Linked DNA regions of Drosophila melanogaster. The protein of the gene in region 2 purifies or fractionates together with the protein of the main gene of each other region. This does not show direct contact. Each region holds a gene or a part of one and is shown on either strand. Other genes may lie near its edges. The genes, in order: Strica, Drep1 and CG5174.

Region 1 (5,220 bases), 6.0 Mb from region 2:
ACCAATTTAAAGGTTAAGTCTTACAACTTAGTTTTCGAGACAAAAACTTTTGGCGACGGAAAAATCAGCGTGACTGTCGATGCCACCGACGGAAGCGCTTCGGTTGAAAATGCCACTGGATTCAAAATAGTGGCCAAACTTACGGGTGGCAAGGGCGATGTAGCATGGCAACACACACAACTGTTCAGGCAGAGTCTTAATTCAAGAGACTATCCCTTCGATCTGCAAGTGCAACTACATTGAAGTCCTCAAAAAATATTTTGGAGAAATTAAAATGTAATTGTAAATAATATAAACGATTCCCAGTCTGGATGAAAATATAATAATCAAAAATGTATATTAAAAATTAAATAAAGGCACATAGTGTCGCTATATGTAATTATACTTGAAGTTTTAAGGACTAACTTTTATGAAATTTCTATATATATAGAACAAGCGCATGGAAACAGTTAATACAAAATATAAGGTTCTTAGATTTGGGTTGCAGTTAATTAAAATATGAATGACAAATTTAGAAACGACATTTAAACTTTATTTTCTTCTATATGTCAATATTTATTTCATCCGGAATCAAAGCAATAAATAATTTTATTGGTCACAATTGCTGGGACGATTTTTCAAGATTTACATATATAGATGAAAAAAGGCAAGACAATTAAAAAGACTAGATCGACTCGGCTAGTGATCCTGATAAAGAATTCATATACTTTGTATATTTTGCTTACAACTAACGGGTATACAAATAGATATCATATGTAGGTATTCAGCGATTTTCAGAGAACCGCGCAGTGATTTTGCCATTTTACATCACCAAAAAGTCATTCGATTATTGCCTGCCCTTTATGAATATCGGTATATTAAAATTTTTCGAAACATGTTTTTCGCTAATCATCTACAACAAAATGCGCATATATATATGAATCTTAAAATTTGGTTGAAACATCAAAACATTTTTGTGTAGAATATACATATATACAAAACTAATGTTACATATATTCTTTTAGCTGTATGGCATTTATCATTGGTACCATTACACTAAATTAGAGTTAGCAAACGGTCATACCTAATTTATTGGTAAGAATGGGTCATTATATTGGTATTGAGAAAAAATAACTGTTTTTATTTTATAATAACATTAAAACGTTAATTTTTAGTACAATAAAAGTTAAAAAATTTCAAGGGCACACGGTTTAACATTTTACATGCGATGACCGTTCTTAAAAAATCGACCAAAATAAAAAAAAGTTTTTCATATTTTCAGGTTCTGGTTACCGAAAATAGTTTTCCTTTAACAATTCCGACCCCAGACTAATTTTTTTTTAATATTTAGCCTCACACTTTTACCGCCTCTTTAGTTTGTGAGCTACCTCTCGATTGTTATATTAAGCTAAGATCGGACAACCATCGCAAATTTTCATTTCTTCGTATATATCACCTTCTTCTGGTACGCTTCGTCACTACGTGGACCAGACGCTATGTGCTATATACTATGTACATACATCTATCCATGTGCTATTTACATATATATTAATTTTGATATTTAATGGCGTGTCTTAGATTTAAGATCTATGGTCAAATATAATCTCCAAAAACGTACTTAGAGGTAAGAGTGCTAGTGACAGATGGAATTTGGCGGTCTCTAAAATAAAGTTTAATAATTATTTATGGGGTCATATATAAACACGTGGAGTTTCTTACTTGGATTGCATTTTAACCACTTGACGCACATTCATCATTATGGTGTCGATGTCTGAAGTCTTCCCCGATCGATTAAGAGCTTCACACAGTGTCTGAATAAAAGGAGTTCCGTCCTCCGTGCGAAAAGATACAAATCCCTCGTACGTGCTATAGCACTTGAGGATTTCATTTGGAGACCCATTGGGCTGCGCGGCATCGGTCATAAAGCCCCCTAGTTGGCAGTCGCCCTTGCAGGCCTGAACGAAAATCAGCTTGGGCTTGTCCTTAAGCGTCCTATTGCGCAAAATGGGAAAAACAACGTCGTCGTCCAGGGAGTAGTCGTCATCCTTTGCTGCGATCTGGTCGTGGCGCGTTCCATGACTGAGGATCACGAGGACCAGAGCGCTTTTGTCCTCAAAGTCCTTGGTTTGCACTGCAAAATTTAAAAATTAATTGATTAAGCCGAGAAACTACACTTCTCCTCTTACACATTCGCACTGTTTTTTTAATGGTGACCAGGGTTGCATCTGTAATAACTTCCACTTTGCACTTCAGCTGCTCAAAGGTGGCGCGCAAGACCTTCACATCCTGGGCACTTCCCTTTCGGAATTCGTTCTTGTTATCGAACCGCTCGTGGTTGAAGATATACACCCGGGCGGGCTTGAGTTTGTTCTTGGTCAGGCTTGATTTCGAGATACCCAGGCTCGTTGAAATCGTGCCCTGGGCATCTTGGGATTGCGCGACGGCAGTGACCTTCGGCTTGGTGCCTCCTGACGATCCCAGACTAATGAAGGGCTTGGGAGTTGCGGTAGAACTGAGCGGCTTGTCAACTTGCTTGGGAGCGGACTTGAAAATGCTTGAAATGGAGGATACAGATGATGATGGTTTGGGCGGACTCGTAATGGAGCTGGCACTGGAACTGGACGTGGAGCTAGTGGTTTTTGGTGTCTTGATGTTGGGAGATGTGCAAGTTATGGCCATGCTTGGCTTCTGACGATAAGGTGAGACGTAGCTGGATGTTGAGCTGTTTGCAGTGGACGCAAATGACGCCCAGGTCGCCTTAGGTCGACTTCCCTTGAGGTCCACTCTATGAGTCTCCAGGTGCTGGGTGACCGTGCGCCCATTCTTTTGGGTCACTGTCGTCTGCTCGGTCTTGACTAAGGTGCTTGACCGTTTGCCAGCATTGCTTGCCGTGGCTTTGAAGGGTTGTGTGGAGCGAAAGGAGACGCCGTTCAAACTGGGCGGTCGGGAGCGCGAGGAGGTGGTCGTCGTAGTGGTGGTGGTGGAGCCAATGGGTCCCTCACCGCCCATCTTTATCTTTGCGAAGAGAGCCTCTAACTCCGCCTGACTAGGCGTGCGTCGCGTTGTCGTCTCCGTGATCAGCGCCCGCTGCGTGTGCGTCACCGTCTGGCGGGTGGTGAGAAAGGTAACCGTCTGCTTGTTGTTGTCCGTTATGGTCGAGTTTTGCACGGCTGTGTTGGTCGTCTCCGTGGCTGCACTCGTAGTCTGGACTCGTGTGCGCGGGTCCTGCGCCACCAGTTCCTGGCTGGGCTGACTGCGATCCGTCTCGCTTTTCTTGCTCCACCAACCCATAATGACTCCGGTTTGCGTGTGTTGAGCTTTCTGTCTTAAACTGGCTTTCACGCACTGCGCTGTAGTTGCTTTGTGAAGCTCGACGGTTCTCGCTGAACTGAAAGACTCGGAGAGAATTCAGAATAAAAACGCTCCCAAGATAAGGAGGCTTACTCATCGCAAGCCTCCGCCGCACCACTGGAGTGAAACTGTGGCGCTCCGTGGTGGCCGTTATCTGCACTCCGACGTGGGTGATAACCATATCTCCCAATCATATCCAAAAACCTTTAATGCCTTTATGATCTTTCCTGTTGTCAACAAAGCGAACGAGTTTAGCTCACCAACACGTGTATATGGTTCGCTCTTACTCTCTCTTTTATTCTGAACAATTTCTTCTGGTGACCGATCCATTCATACATGCAACATACATATATATATATGTATATATAAACAAATGAATGATAATTTTAAATATTATTTATTTTGTATTTATGTTTTCGTCAAGGGTTATGTATTTATTTGTTACCCATACGTAATTGGGAAGCCATCTCAAGTATTCACACCGCTGATTTTAACAATTAGCAATTCCAAGAATCATATCGAACACAGGCAATGACCCAATCAGCTGTTTAAAACAAAGCAAAAAAGTTTTTTTTACATATGTACATATGTTAAGATATCTGGAACTATCAAAACAAGGAGGTTGAGATTAAGCACATAGATACTATACAAATACATATTCGTACAGCAAGTTTGTTGTCCCGTTGCCACGCCTACTTTAACGCCCACAATCCACCCAAAACTGACTCGACCAAACCTGTCACGTCATCACTTTTGGGAAATGATTTGTTTACTTTTTACCTTATCAATTTTAAACGTACATATACATATATATGAAGGTATATTTATTGTTTTTAAATTTATCAGATGAGTAACGGGCATCTGACAGCGCTCACATATGGCATTTTCTCTTTTTTTTTAATGTACATATGTATATGTCTGAATGTATATGTATGAATTCCATTAAACATATGGACTAATACTAAAAATCATTATTATACCCGTTACTCGTAGAGTAAAAGGGTAGACTAGATTCTTTGAAAAGTATGTAATATGTAAAAGGAAGCGTTTCCGACCAATGTCCGTCTTTCCGGCCGTATGAACGTCAAGATCCCAGAACCTATGAAAGCTGGAAGGTTGGATACAGATTCTAGAGACCCATGTTGCCACGCCCAATCTAACGCCCACAAACCCCATAAAACTGCCACGATCACACTTTTGCAAAATGTTTTGATATTTTTGTATATATATATATTATATTATATTTGTATATATTTGTATTATTTTTTCTAAATTTCTTTCGATTTGCCAAAAAATTTTTGGCACCCCCACTCTTACCCCTATAAACCGCCCAAAACTGCTTATTTTAAACAGTTTTTAAATTTTTTCTTATTTTATTCACCAATATTTATCGATATCCCAGAAAAATTAAAAAATTTCGTTCGCATTCAGAGTGTGAATTTCACAAAAGCTGAGTACATGTTACTGATAGCCGGGGAAGTCGACTATAACATTCTCTCTTGTTTAATAATTAATTTACATACATATGGATATGGGAAGTTGTGGTATGATATTGAGGTAAACTCATATGAAAACTAACAAATAATTTTCGTTTAAAAACTTCTGATATCAAACGAAAACACCGGCTTAACGAGGTATCAAGTACATTTATCTGGAAAAATGATTTTTAATTTAACTAAGAGGGCATTTAAGAAAGGAAAATTCAAAAAGTAGTAGTTGTAAATGATCTCAAAGAATTCCTAGTTTCGTTGTTTTTGATCATAACGCCATCTATCTATATCAAGCTAGCTTTCTTATTTGTTAGCTTAAATTAAATAATTTGCTGAAAATTGAGTGAATGCGTTGTTCTTATTAATTTTTTTGTTACTCATTTTTTAAGTTCAACTGTGT
Region 2 (7,641 bases):
CCAGCAGGATGAAAATCGTCGAGGGCGCAAATTAAAAGAGCAGCCAAGGAATGGGAACCGAAAAAGGGATGTGCTGTGTTAGTAGGGGATATTGAGTATGCAAAGGCCACAGGACGCTGGATTCAATTCATCAAAGCCAGGGCCACGCCCACAAAGAGACCCTTGCTGTGGGGCGCTGTCGTCACGAATTTGGGTCACCCGGGAGCTTTGAACTGTGTTAGTAGGCCATCGCAATCAGCTAGCCAGGACCTGCAAACGTCATGGTGCAGTGACGTCACGAAGGAAGTTGAATGGCAAAAGAGAATGGCGTCGAGTAATGCAATTATATGGCAGCAGCAGGTGTAGGACTCCCACTCTCTTGCTCTCTCGAACTGGAAAAAAGGGAAATGGAAGAAGCGGTGAAGGAAGGGGAAACTCTCTTTTGCCAGCGGAAGAGCAGGATGCAGTCCATACGCCCTGTTGCACACGCTTTGTGCGTTGCGCATACGCCCCGTTTGCCAGTTATGCTAGTTCAATCAACTTTAGTTTAATAATCATTTATTTATTACTTGGTTTCGTGTATATAGTTTGCCTCGGGGTTTTCACTTGCATTTACTGTATGCTTTTCACTATATTTAATAATTGTTCACTGTTTGCATTCGGTTTTAGATTTCGTTTACGTTTACGGTTTCCCTTATTGCTTATTCGAATTGTAGACAGTTACAGTTACCAACTTTGATTGGGCAATTGCAATTTGCGTTATTGTGTTCCATTATTGTTTAATTAGCTAACAATGTTTGCGCTGTCGCTTAAATTCATTTGGCTATGGATTCGGGGGCGGGAAGACGGGGATTCTGGGAGGACAGGGCAGCAGCGCTGGAGGCTTCCATCCGATCTTTCCCGAACCGCTCAAACCACGAAAAAACCTATTACACATAAATTCAGTCAGTCTCAATTGGCCTTTAACGAATGACATTCACAATGGCATTGGTCTAAAAACAATATTTGATGTGCGTTTCCACTCTACCTACTATTCGTAACACAATTTACACGGTAAGCAAATCAACAGTTTCCTGGGACAACTCCATCCAATTGGGGTTCGCTCTGGTTGTGGGATTCTACCTCAAGTATAATACTTATTTCGCTAACCTTTGATTATTATTCATCTAGTACGGCTTGGTGTGACTCGTGTATATGCGGTTAAATACGATTCCGCTGACTGTGATTGCTAAAAGACTTTTCAAATCTGCGCGGGCCTCTTGTTCTCTTGAGCCTCGTGACCCGGTGTTTAAATCTAGTACGTGTATTGTTCGTTAACTTTCATTTGCTCTTAGATACTATGAAGCATTTTCAATGACTTGATTTCGTCTCCGTTTCGTTTTTGCTGATTTCGCAGTGCCTAATTACATGCTACAAATACGATTTATGTTAACCCAATGTTGCAGGACTGATGTCTTCGGTATATCCTTTTGGCTCTTGATTTTGATTGGCGCACCCAGTTGCGTTAGTTTTCCGCCGGCAGACTTTACCTAAGACTGCCCAAAATGGGCAGTCAGATGTCGCCGTTGGCATTTGGATTTCTATTTGGATTGGCATTGGCCTCATTGGCAGCCGCTTCGGCAGCGGAGGATCCCATCGCTCCACTGGCTGTGGCGCAAGTGGTGGTGGCCTCGCCCACCGTAATTGTTATCGTCGTGTTTTGATTGTCGCACTGCACCACCTCGATGGTGCGGGTGTTGCTCGTCGTTGTGGTGCTCATCTGTCCACTCTCCGCCTCGTTCAACTGCCGTCCAATCTCCCGGTCAATGGCCTCCGCATCCTCGGGATAACGTTCCGAGCAGAAAATGGCACCAGCTTTCAATAGCTTCAGCAGATTTAAACGATCCTCGGCATTCCGCTTGGCACACAATGGCCTAAAGTCATGAAATCATGCTACAATTAAGTGGTATATGGGAAAGGAATTAAACTCACCTTCCCGCATCCTTGAGCTGCTCCATAAACTCCTTTCCCGTGATGTCCACCAACGAGTTGGGATCCATGTTGGAGAGTGAGTCCAGATCGGCATCGTTCATCACGGACACGTTGCAGAGGTTGTTCTGCAGCTGGCCCACCAACTGGCGGATGCGAGCCGACTCCGAGTTGTTGGCATCGGTGGTGTCGCCCTCGCCTCCTCCGTTCAGCTCTCCGTTTCCAGTTCCTGCCTCGTTGCCATGTGGAGTGGTTATCGTCACGTAGTGAGTGGGCTATAAACAGAGTGCAGATAGCATTTAATTTAATCTTCCTGGCTTTGGTCCCATGCTCATGGAGCTCTTTCATGGCATTCAAGAAATAATGCAATTAGTCATTATGGCAGATAAAAGGAGGGACACATAAAATGAGCTATCCAATTAAGCGGTGTTCACTTTGAGAAATGAAAATTACACAATCGCAAAACGAATTTATTGAGGTGATTTAAATAAAAAAGGTGCTGATATAATTATTTTTAAGTGCCTGTTTTCCTTTTCCTTTTATTTAAGGGCTACTCACATCGATCCAATGTTCTCCGGGAAAGACGGCCACCAGTTCCGTATTCTCGTCGAGGGTGCGAAAGTACTCCTCATCATCGATCTCCGTGCCGTCGGAGTCCAGGTGGATGGTGGGCAGGTGGTCGCACTTCTCGAACTTCTCCGCCACCTTGCTGCGGATCTCCTCCAGACTGGAGGCGCAGACAGCCTTCTTAATGTTGCGTGTTACGTCCTTGACCTGGCCATAAAAACGCAGAAGGACAGTGCCGGGAAAAGGGAATAATAAACCATTACACGTTTGCAATTACGGAGACAGTAGCAGTTACACATGGCCCCGCTCATCAAATGAATAATAAATTAATGTCAGATGGGAAACAACTGAGGTCCTATAAAATATTCACATCGTCGGCACCCAAAATAAGAAAACGGAAAAACATCGAAATGGGAAAAGTTGTAAATTTTCCTTTAGCTGCACCCTTTTTCTTGAGACAACAACGTGAACGGAATGGAGAAACTATGGAAACTTTCCGCCTGATTTATTCATTATCCTCCCGCTTGCACTTAATTATTCAGTCTGTTTCTCTTTTCAACGCAAACTTTACCCTGTTTTTATAGTTATTTAATTAGGCAATCTTTGAAAATTCCATTAAACAAAGAGAAAAGATAAATAGTAGCGCAAGTTGCTAAATAATAAATACACAACCACATTTCGACGCTGATTGTTTTCCATTCCCCGAAAAATCGCAATGAATAAATGAACGCAATATTTGCGACCACGTCATGTCCTGCTGTCAAATGTCCATTTGCTCTAATTGAGATTTATGGACGGCTTTTTCCCGGTGGGGGATGTCACCACCTTAAAGTGCCTCCCACAGCCCGACGACTTTGTGCATATTTCAGTTGCGAATGCCGAGTTCCATGAGCTCCTCTACTTTTGCTCGAGATCTCGAACGCAGTTTGACATGCACTCTAGCAGCTGCGGTGCAAATATTTGTCGTTTATCTCCCACTCCCCGATTCCCTGGCGTATCCTTTTAAATTTTCTTTTTATTTGACAAGTTATGCATGTCAGCATTCTTCATGCTGCATGCTCCTTCGCGAATGCCATAGGTTAGTGCTGTTCGCCGGTTGCAAGGACGAAGGACGCAAGCCTTTGGCTCTATTAAACTTGCATGCGATGTTAAATGATGCCTCAGCACTAAGGTTAAACGAAACATAAATTAGACCCGTCCAGATGGAGGCTCAAGGAGGCGCAACTTTAAGGGAGCAAGCGGCACGAATGCATTCCACCCAGAATTTATAGCCCCGAAACGTCGGACAGCGTGCAACTCCTTGAGGTCCTTCATGAATATTTGAGAGCACCGTGACTAAATGAAATTGTACTCGAGTTTGCATTTCGAACATTTCATTTTACTCGTGCGCCTAGCTGCTCTATCATCCCAATTCCATTTGCTCAGATAGCGGAGGAGGTCGTCCCTAAATTATCTTATAAATACTTAAAGCCACATAACTTTTGTGCCGCGAAAGCTCCAAATATTAATCATATCATGAATGCGGCGTGTGGGGCTAGAACTTTGTAACAATGAAAACTTTGCCCAACTACTGGCGCATTTGACAAGTGGGAGTCGCGGCAGCATCGAAAACAAAAGCATAGTTTTTGTTCGGAAACTTGTCAAAAGTTTTAGTCGATCGCATTAGTTGATTTTTCAAGTGGCGTCGATTTTTCAAGCGGTCGCAATTCAATTAGCAGTTTATCTAATTACCCGCAAAATTATACAAAGCTTATACAAATCAGAAACAAGATTTATTCGGAAAGTAAACATGTTTCAAAAGTGTTTCAAGTTGTTTCTTGAATGGAAATGCTATTAGGTTATATCATTAAGAGCAAATTTTTGGCACATCGTGGTAAGTAAAACTTTATTTTTTAATATTTAAATATAAGAATAATATTTAAATATTGAAATGAGCAAACACAAATGTTACCTACTTGCTACTGTTTAAGATACAAATTTCCAAACTAGCATCACTACAAGTTCAGGCTAATGTATGTGAAAGTCTAGATGAAATCAGTTAAGTGTTTTTCTAGAAGACCAGTTTATACACAAAAGTGTATGCAAAACGACTTGGGCAAATTGGTAGAGCAGCAGCGAGTTGAGGGCTTATAAATCTCAACTAACTCGAGCTGCTCAGCCATCAGGACCCGAGGGTCCTGGTCCACACATACGTACGTAGATGAACGTGCAACGACCTCCGGCGTCTGGCTCCGTTTTAGGAGCAGCCGAAGGAGACGTGCCAGGAACTCTATCATCTGCATCCAAGATGCGGGCAGAATCCACAAGTCGCAGGACATTTTAATATTTGATGGGCGTAGGCCGCAGATTTTCGAGTCGCTGGGGAAATTAGGCGACAACTTTAAATTGCTTTTGAACTATGCCGCGGCATTATGTAGATTGTTTAATAAATTATTAACAAAATGCCTGAGGCGGGTCGTGGGCGTGGCTGTTGGCTAATTACAGCGACATGTCGGGATGAAAAGTTTTCCCTTTTTAATGGCATTTTCATGGCTGTCATGGTATTTGACAGCTTTTAAGCCGATTTGCGTTTGGTGGTTTTTGAATTAAATATTTTAATAAGGAGCGGCATTTTAATGGATAAAGTGGGGGAGGGAATTCCTGGATGTTATCTCCAGTCATGTTTTACGAAAGTTGTTTTCTGTGTTTCACAGACAATTTAAATAGCTTTGTGGTTTATTGGTTTCCTTTGAGTTGTCAGCTGCATGTACTTCCAGTGGTTTTCTGCAACCTTAAGCACGTTTTTTACATCCCCATAATACTTTAAACAGCTTTCTGCTGTTTAAGCGGCAGATAAACAAATTAAACAGGAAACAATGGCCCAGCAGTCAAGTAAAACAAATGCTAAAGGCAAACAATTCCCAATACTCGAATCAAAAGGCAAATGCAAAGCTAGACAAACATGTAAAAAAAAGGACAAAGAGAAAGAAAGCAACTAAATAGTGTTTTTGAATTTGCAAAGTCAAATTTCAGGCAGTTAATGCTTATTACTGAGCTTTCGGCACTCTCTTAGCTTGAGCTTTTGGCTCTCTTGAGTTCTGAAGTTCAACCCAGTTTCCATAAGAATCCAAAAAAAAAGGAAAAAAAGTAGCGAACGCAGCACGCGGCCAACAACAACAAAGGCGAAAACAACAACGCCCAAAAATGGACATGCCAGGAAAATAATGCATGCACTTAAAATGCAATTGTTCGTCTGCGGCCTTTATTTCCATTTACAATTACAGGGGGAACTCACTTTGAAAGGCTTTTTGGAGTCGCCCGAGTTCGCTGCAGTCTCCATGGCTTTGTTTGCTCCAACTAAATTACTTATTCACTATGCACTTTATTTCCAGGCTTAATTGCTCCACATTAAATGACTTTTCTATAGATTTGATTACTTTTCGCTTGCTTCTTGCACTTGCACTCGGCGTCCGAACAAACAAACTTGGAATTTCCTTCCACAAGCTGCACTTCAAATGGGAATTAACAATATTTTCTCGGCTCCGCAGCGGAGCTTTCGTTGCGATGAGCACCGGTTTTGAAATGAGCGCGTTTTGCTCAAAAGCACTGCCTTTTATACGCAGAGAAAGGGCTTCTAACAGATGTTGAGTTCGAACTGCGAGTGCTCGCTTTTAAATGAATGTTAACTGATAGGTTCAAATAATATTTGTTTTATGTCCTATTGGCCATGTTTCTTTTTAATCATGATAAGTAAACATATTTTTGAAGCCTAACACTTTTTTTTTTTATATTTTTTTTTTTATAAATTATTCCCTGTAGATTTTGGTTATTTAATTAATTAATATTGTATCAATTTTTTGTAAAATAGGTAATAATGTGCTTCTAAAAGAAAACACTAAACAGATTAGAATTTTAAATATATTGAAACATAAAGCTTACAAAGAGAAAACAAACATAGTCAAAAACACGTTCTCTCTCGCTGAATATGTTAACATTTGGCTGTGGCCTAGTCCCTAGAAAACACAAAGAGTTTGCTGGAACAATCCTGGCTGAAAAGTTAAGGTGATTCCAGCAATCTAATCTCTATTTCCATCGGAAGGTGCTTTCGGATTCAATTAGTCCATTGGGAGGGGTTGCGCATTATCAGCCCAATGATATCCGGTGTTGTCAATTCGAAATCCCCTCGCCCGCTTGGAACCCGGCCAAAAGAGCAGTTGGACTACGCTTAACTTTCTACACAAGTGGCCAACACCCATTTAAATCTATATACATCTATTGCCATGCACACATCAACGAACCGTCCAGATAAGAAGAGCAAAAAGCAAACTTTTGACAAATGGCCAAAATACATGAAAGGAAAGCCAAAGCCGGAAGGTGGCCCCAGATTGGGTTCTCATCAGTTTGTGCACGGCGAAAAATAAAGATTCTGTTATGATACTAAAAACTAATAAAAACTATAACTTATTGCATACTTATCAGCGCCTAATTGAGCAAATGGATTCCATAAAGGATAAAGGTATGTAGGTATAAATAGGAATGAGTAGTTTTCTTTTAGTCATACGAATATCAACTAACTTTATATAATTCTCAAAAGTTTTTCCACGTATAAAACGGTACTGAATAGCCCGGAAAAGAGGTGGGCATGCAAGTATGGGGGAGATCAGAGATGGGGCAGCCTTAAATTGTCATCCTAGTGCGCACCATTGGTTCCTCGGATGCTGATGCTGCTTCTGCTGCTGGCAGTTTGCCCCGTTTGCTGTCATTGCACTGCACATAGTAACTTCTACGTGTCCTGCGGAGGAGAAGCAGCAGTGGGTGGTAGCTGTGACTATTTTAAGCGCAGGTCACTCGAAAGGACGCACAAGGACATTGGCTTGTGTGGGTGGCTGTGTCGCCTGCAGTTCGCAGGTCACGTGCATGCACCGCGGTGCATTGACCACGGACACGTTGACACATCGGCCGGAATCTGGGTTGAGCTCCACCTCGAAGCCAGGTGACAGGTAATTGCCTCACGGGCAATCAGGCAATAGGCAATATCGAGGGAAAACAATAAATCAACGCCTGGCGATATTGGTTTTACTAAGAAGCATCAAGCCGCTCGAGAATGTTTAGTTTAACTGAGCCAAAAAACAAAATACACATAAGATA
Region 3 (5,488 bases), 6.4 Mb from region 2:
GCTCGTCTCCGTTTTGGACACCCGGGCCAATAGGAATCCCCGCGAGAAGAGCATCACGCCGCTGCTGATGAGGAAGGCCAGCCAAATAAGCACGAACAAGTACGTCAAGTTCATCTTTCGGCTGCGATTAATTAACTAACTAGGCACACAAATGCTTAATGAGTAATAAACTTTTTAGCATTTAGAACAATGCTGGTGTAGGCGAATACTTTATGCGGCTGGCCAGCCGCTTTCAGTTGTATAAAACTATGTAATTTAATTGCACTTTACTTCGGAGTGGTTGATTAGGTTTCCGGCATCACGATGCGTTCTGTTTGCTCGCTGTTTTCATTTAAAATTCCTCATATCTAAAGATTTTCTTGTGGCCTGAAGAAAAAATTGAGAAGTATGCAAGAACCCTCTATGGCGTTGCCACCTCGTCAAAGCAAACAGCTGTTTTACGTTGATCCCTGGGTTAAATCAGAGTTGTCAACTTTATTATAATTTTTGGCGGGATATTTAAAGCTGACAGATGAAATTGGAAATTAACTTTTTTTAATTCATTAGCTGTAGTTTAAGTTTGAAAAGGTAATCACACATATACTCCCAAACATCATTTATCAAAAAGACATCGCTATTTTTATGGGGCAAAAATTTTTGCATTTATTCAAAGATTTCATACACATATAGCAAATTTGATCAGCATTAGCAACAAATTGGGTGCGATTTCGTCTCTTTCTCAATCTTCAGCAGTACGGACTACATCCACTTAAGTTTACCAATGGATTTTCGTTATTTGCACGCAAGCTCTGATCGTAACACAAATATTTAGTACTAAATAAATTTGGAATTGGCTTTTCAACGGATTAGGGAACGCCATCTAACCACGGAACTCAACGCCTAGAGAAGAAATAAAAGCGTAAAACAAATGTATATTCACTTTAACCGCAATGCATGATTTTCTAATGTTTTTACTAAGTATTAGAAACATTTGGGAATGACATCGGGTGGACCATCCAATGTGGTTTAGTCTTTAAACGTACACTTAGATTGATAGTTATATAAACGAATGCAGCAAGCCCTTGGATCTTCGATCCTCCGTGGCTTTAAATTTAAACAAGTCATGCAATTTGATGGTGTCTCCAAGGCAAATACAAATAGATGCATATAATATGTGCTCCCATTGGCAAATTTTTGACGCGCAGATTTTAGTTATATTAAGTATTATATAAACCGTATCGACACAGGTGTACATATGATTTCTGGTTAAATTAATTCTGATCCTGTTGTTAGTGCGCAGACACGACAATTCGCTTTAGTTAAATAAGTTAATAGAGTGGGTGCGTGGGTCTGTTTGTATGTAGTATAGGTTGCTCCACATTATCGACGCGCTTGGCCTTGCAGTTGCCCCGAAATCTATTTCGGGAGTGAGTCTGTGGGTGAATTCAGACCCGAGGATGTGTTATTCTCGTCCAGGGCATCTGGGAAACTGGACACCGAACCCGAGCGGGATGTCACCTTGGTCTACAATAGAACAGAAAACCGAACAGATTGTAGTAGAGGTGCAGTAGCATTTGCGCAAGGAGTAGTTCGTTGTGTAAGCAAGCAAATCAACCGAAGTATCCCAATTCAGAGTGCGTTTATAGTGGGTGAGCAAGTGTGAAAGATGTGTGGTTAGTGTTAGTTAGTTGGTTAGTTAGTGGCTAGTTAGTTAGACGGGAACCAAAACAGAATCGCAACAGTATGAGAGATGTGTAAAGACAGATATATAATAAAATAGTAGTTACCGCATGAGATTGGCACATAAAATTGTTGTGTTCATAGCTTACTTTAACGTTCTCGTAGGCAGAGCCCACCGAAGCCTCGATAGAACGCATCGATTCGGAGTTTTTCATTTGCGACAGTTTCGACGAAATGCCACTGGTGATGCTGCCAAACACCGAGGCGGTCTTCTCGCCCGTGGACTTTAGCACCGACTCAGTGCGTTGGTATCTAGGGGAGAGTACAAATAAATCCAACATTAGTTACTCATCTCGATAGTTTTCCTCCATACACAAAGTGGGCAAACATAGGTGCGCTTTAGTTACAAACAGGCGAGAGTTGGTTATTGTGTTAAAGGAAGTGGCGTGAAACACGGCGTTAGTCCGGTAACTCCAAAAGTACCCAATTAAAAATCAGCCTGAACCCAATTACTTACAGTGGTGCCTCGTACACCGTTTTAGTAAACGTGCCCACGCTCTGCTCCACCGATTGGTAACTAAATAAATACACGTTATAGCGTTTCAACAGGAGTTTGAAACAAAAAGCATGGTTAGAAATTAAAACTGTCTAGTCGGGTTAATTGCCCAGCAGAACTGCGAACGGTTCATAGACTTACACAGTGCTCTCCTTGAGGTTCTTAAGGCCCTGGTTCACGTCGTCCGTCACCTCCTTCCAGACGGTGATGCCCAGCTTGCGCTTGAGATCGGAGGCATGGCGCGTCTTGGAGGCTAGGACAGTTCGCAGCGTATTGATCTCTTCCTCAACGCGGGCGAGCTCCTGGAAATTGAAGTAGAAGTTAGCGTTCGAGCTGAGTAATCAAATTATGATCGTAAAACTGAAAACTTCCTTACCTGACTCCACTCAGCCCGACGCTGCTCCTTCTCCTCGACGGAAAGCGCAGCGAACTCGGCGGCAATTTCTGCGGATGCCACAGAATTAGCTGGAGATGCTGGCTCCGACAGGTTGGCTGTATTATCTGAACATGAAATAAAAAGCCATTAAATATATGCCAATCCAAGGGAACATTAAAACTTGGGGTGCTGTGTGGGGACTGTAGCTTAATTTCAATGTTGTCGGCGGGTAGTGTTTAAGTACCTCCTTTGAAAGCAACTTCCTCAAAGACTTTGTCATAGGCTGAATACACCGAATTTAGTTGTATATACGAGTATGTACAATTTGCAAAGACATGAGTTGGTTAATTGGTTAGATCTGGGTTTTTGTTAATACTCACAAACTGACGAGGCGAAAGGCAGGCAAAGGAGAAAGAAACAGAGAAGTTAGTCTGGTTAGTCATGGTTGAAAGTGGAAAAGCGAATGCCACAGAACAAAGACCCGACCTAAGCCCACCAACCCCCCTCCCCACTGACCGAATTTGGTACCTCTACTTCTATGCCCAATGTTGAGGAATCTCTTGTAGTTATCACTGTTTGATATTTTGGCCAGATACGGTTTGGAGAAGTCTATGAACGTGACCTTAACGTCGCGCATGGTTCGCTTGGCAAAGAACTTCAAGCGGAAGCGTTTGGCCATCGAAGACGATGGCGCTTGATTGGCCAACTTGGCGGCAATGAAGTCCGCCTCCACTGCCTGCAATTCCAGGCTGTTGGTGTAGTCCGAATCCACATCGTAGAATATCTGGTCTAGCGTCAGATTACGCAAATATAGCTCAGCCTCGCTCTCCTCCTGCCCATCGCCATACCAGTCCAAGACGGCATCATTGGTTTCCAGATCCAGTGACGGTGTGCTGGTGAGATCATCAATGCTTGGCAGATAGGGGTCTTCAATGAACTCCAGGCTATTCGGTTCCGATTCGCTCATTCTGTGGCAATAGCGGCGCTCTCTTTCATCTTTGGCAGCAACTTTCTATTTTGAACGTGGCAGCTGCTGGCGCAGGAGGCTCATATTGTCTTGGCCCAATCCTAAGCACATATCACGTTTCCACGGTCAGCAGCGAGCACATTTTTCTTGGCCCTGCTTTCAGCCACTTCGATCGTTCTTTGCTGAGCTTTCAGTTCTTGGCCCGCCGCGTTCCACATAAATTCCTCTCCCCATGCGATCGCAGCTGGTTTGTGGTGGTTCTTCTGTTTCTGTTTCGATTTCAGTTTCGTTTTCGCTTTCGATTCTGGGCCTGCTCCATCCACGCTCGTCTACAGCCAAATGCCAACTGACTCGATCTCGGCTTAGAAATTGGTAGATGTGGATTGGTTGGCCGCTTGGCTCCGCTTGTTGATGATTCGTGTCAGCACGAAGACGAGAAATGCCACAAGAAGAGCGCTAAACAAAAGGGGCAGCAACAGGCAGCAGCAGCAGTAGCAACCAGCAAGACTACAGTAGAGCTTGACTAAAAGTTACAGCTACGTAAATACATTAGCTCTATAGTAACCAACTTTACACTTCATTTAATTTATAAATTAATAAGCATGGGAAAGTTATAAAGCTAATAATATTTGCATAAATAATAAGTACGCTTTGATAAGACACTAGATATACATATATGTGTCTAATTTAATTGCAGCTAAAATGATTATTTTATCAGTCAAAAAGCTTTGATAAACCGAGACTTCAATTTATTAATTGAATAATATTCTTCTTTAATTGTACCTTTTAAATTTATTAAGTAAACAATTGTGAGGAGATGAACAACTTTAAAAATTGAAAAACCCTATGATAAGGAACTTTAAATATAACTATAAATAAAGTTTTTCTTTGCAAAAACGTACTGTACATAACTGTATCGCTTTGTTGGAGCCAAACAAAAAAAGGAAAATAATTCATAATTTAGCTTCTTGCTAAATAGCAATTACCAGTTTGGATTTTTCCGATTTTTCCCAGCTTCCTCCGACCATCAAGCACTGTATGAGCACAAAGCCACTGTGCCACATTGATGGACCCTATATCTACACTATATATATATATATATATATATGTGAGCTAGTTCTGGTTTGCTGCGAGTTCTTGCTGCTCAGAAGTGCCTGTTGTTGTGGCAGGCCCAATCCCATCGAGAAGTCAACAAGTGGAAGCCAATTACTAAGTGGTTTCGGTGGGGGAACAGAGCTCCGAACAATTATAGTGGCACCATGGTGATAAGCTCAGTGGGAGGAGGCGTTTTCAGATGATATGCATATCATAGCCGCCCTGCGGATGTTGCGCTTCTAAAAGCCACGTATGCATGGACGTCGGAAACCGAGAATGCAATACTTACACCACAAAGAACCTGACCCCCGCCCACCAAACGGATTGCCATCGATGGCATGTCGCAGAACTTCCACGGTAATCCGAATAGTTGGAAAGCCTTTCACCCTACGCAAATCGGAACCATGACTCATCTGCTGATTCCCAGCGCACCAAGGTTAACTCATTGTGTATTCTAAGTCCCCCAAAACTTTTGGCAAAGCCGCTGCTGAATCAGAGTCCTACAATAGTAATGATACCCGAATTACCCGAAAGGTCTTAGGTGTCCCAATCGCCCAGGTCACAAGAGCCCACGGAAACATGTGCCGCTGCATTGGAATTGCAATGATGCACTGCGTCCGTATGCCACACACTTACGGTCCTCCATTACGGCGTTGTCTCCGGAAGTCTGCGGCAATTTTGTTAACTATTTCGATGCCAACTGCACGCACTTGTCGCAAAACTTTCAAGTTGAAAATAATTTTTTGTTTCGCTTGCTTAGCTATCGATGGTTGCTAAAATAAATCGAAGGAATGTCACTATCGATAGCAGCTTTCGGTCAAAAATTCCATCTCTC

Evidence for each region.
Region 1: the proteins of Drep1 (region 2) and Strica purify together in Drosophila melanogaster (affinity purification with mass spectrometry, with the first as the bait; one large-scale study listed by BioGRID). This does not show direct contact.
Region 3: the proteins of Drep1 (region 2) and CG5174 purify together in Drosophila melanogaster (affinity purification with mass spectrometry, with the first as the bait; one large-scale study listed by BioGRID). This does not show direct contact.

What each region holds. Positions count from the first base shown.
Region 1 is NT_033778.4:6,019,773-6,024,992, forward strand, and holds Strica (Ser/Thr-rich caspase), read right to left. Parts: upstream 3,373-5,220; 5' UTR 3,271-3,372; coding exon 2,166-3,270; intron 2,111-2,165; coding exon 1,699-2,110; intron 1,640-1,698; coding exon 1,573-1,639; 3' UTR 539-1,572; downstream 1-538. Other genes in the region: Pngl (PNGase-like), read left to right, coding at 1-243.
Region 2 is NT_033778.4:12,043,056-12,050,696, reverse strand, and holds Drep1 (DNA fragmentation factor-related protein 1), read right to left. Parts: upstream 6,086-7,641; 5' UTR 5,834-6,085; coding exon 5,789-5,833; intron 2,722-5,788; coding exon 2,506-2,721; intron 2,223-2,505; coding exon 1,951-2,222; intron 1,893-1,950; coding exon 1,532-1,892; coding exon of another isoform or gene 1,505-1,531; 3' UTR 525-1,504; downstream 1-524.
Region 3 is NT_033778.4:18,421,355-18,426,842, reverse strand, and holds CG5174 (uncharacterized protein), read right to left. Parts: upstream 3,912-5,488; 5' UTR 3,559-3,911; coding exon 3,108-3,558; intron 2,975-3,107; coding exon of another isoform or gene 2,972-2,974; intron 2,875-2,971; coding exon of another isoform or gene 2,836-2,874; intron 2,717-2,835; coding exon 2,592-2,716; intron 2,518-2,591; coding exon 2,357-2,517; intron 2,237-2,356; coding exon 2,177-2,236; intron 1,972-2,176; coding exon 1,767-1,971; intron 1,504-1,766; coding exon 1,396-1,503; 3' UTR 880-1,395; coding exon of another isoform or gene 838-879; 3' UTR 622-837; downstream 1-621. Other genes in the region: PIG-O (phosphatidylinositol glycan anchor biosynthesis class O), read right to left, coding at 1-114.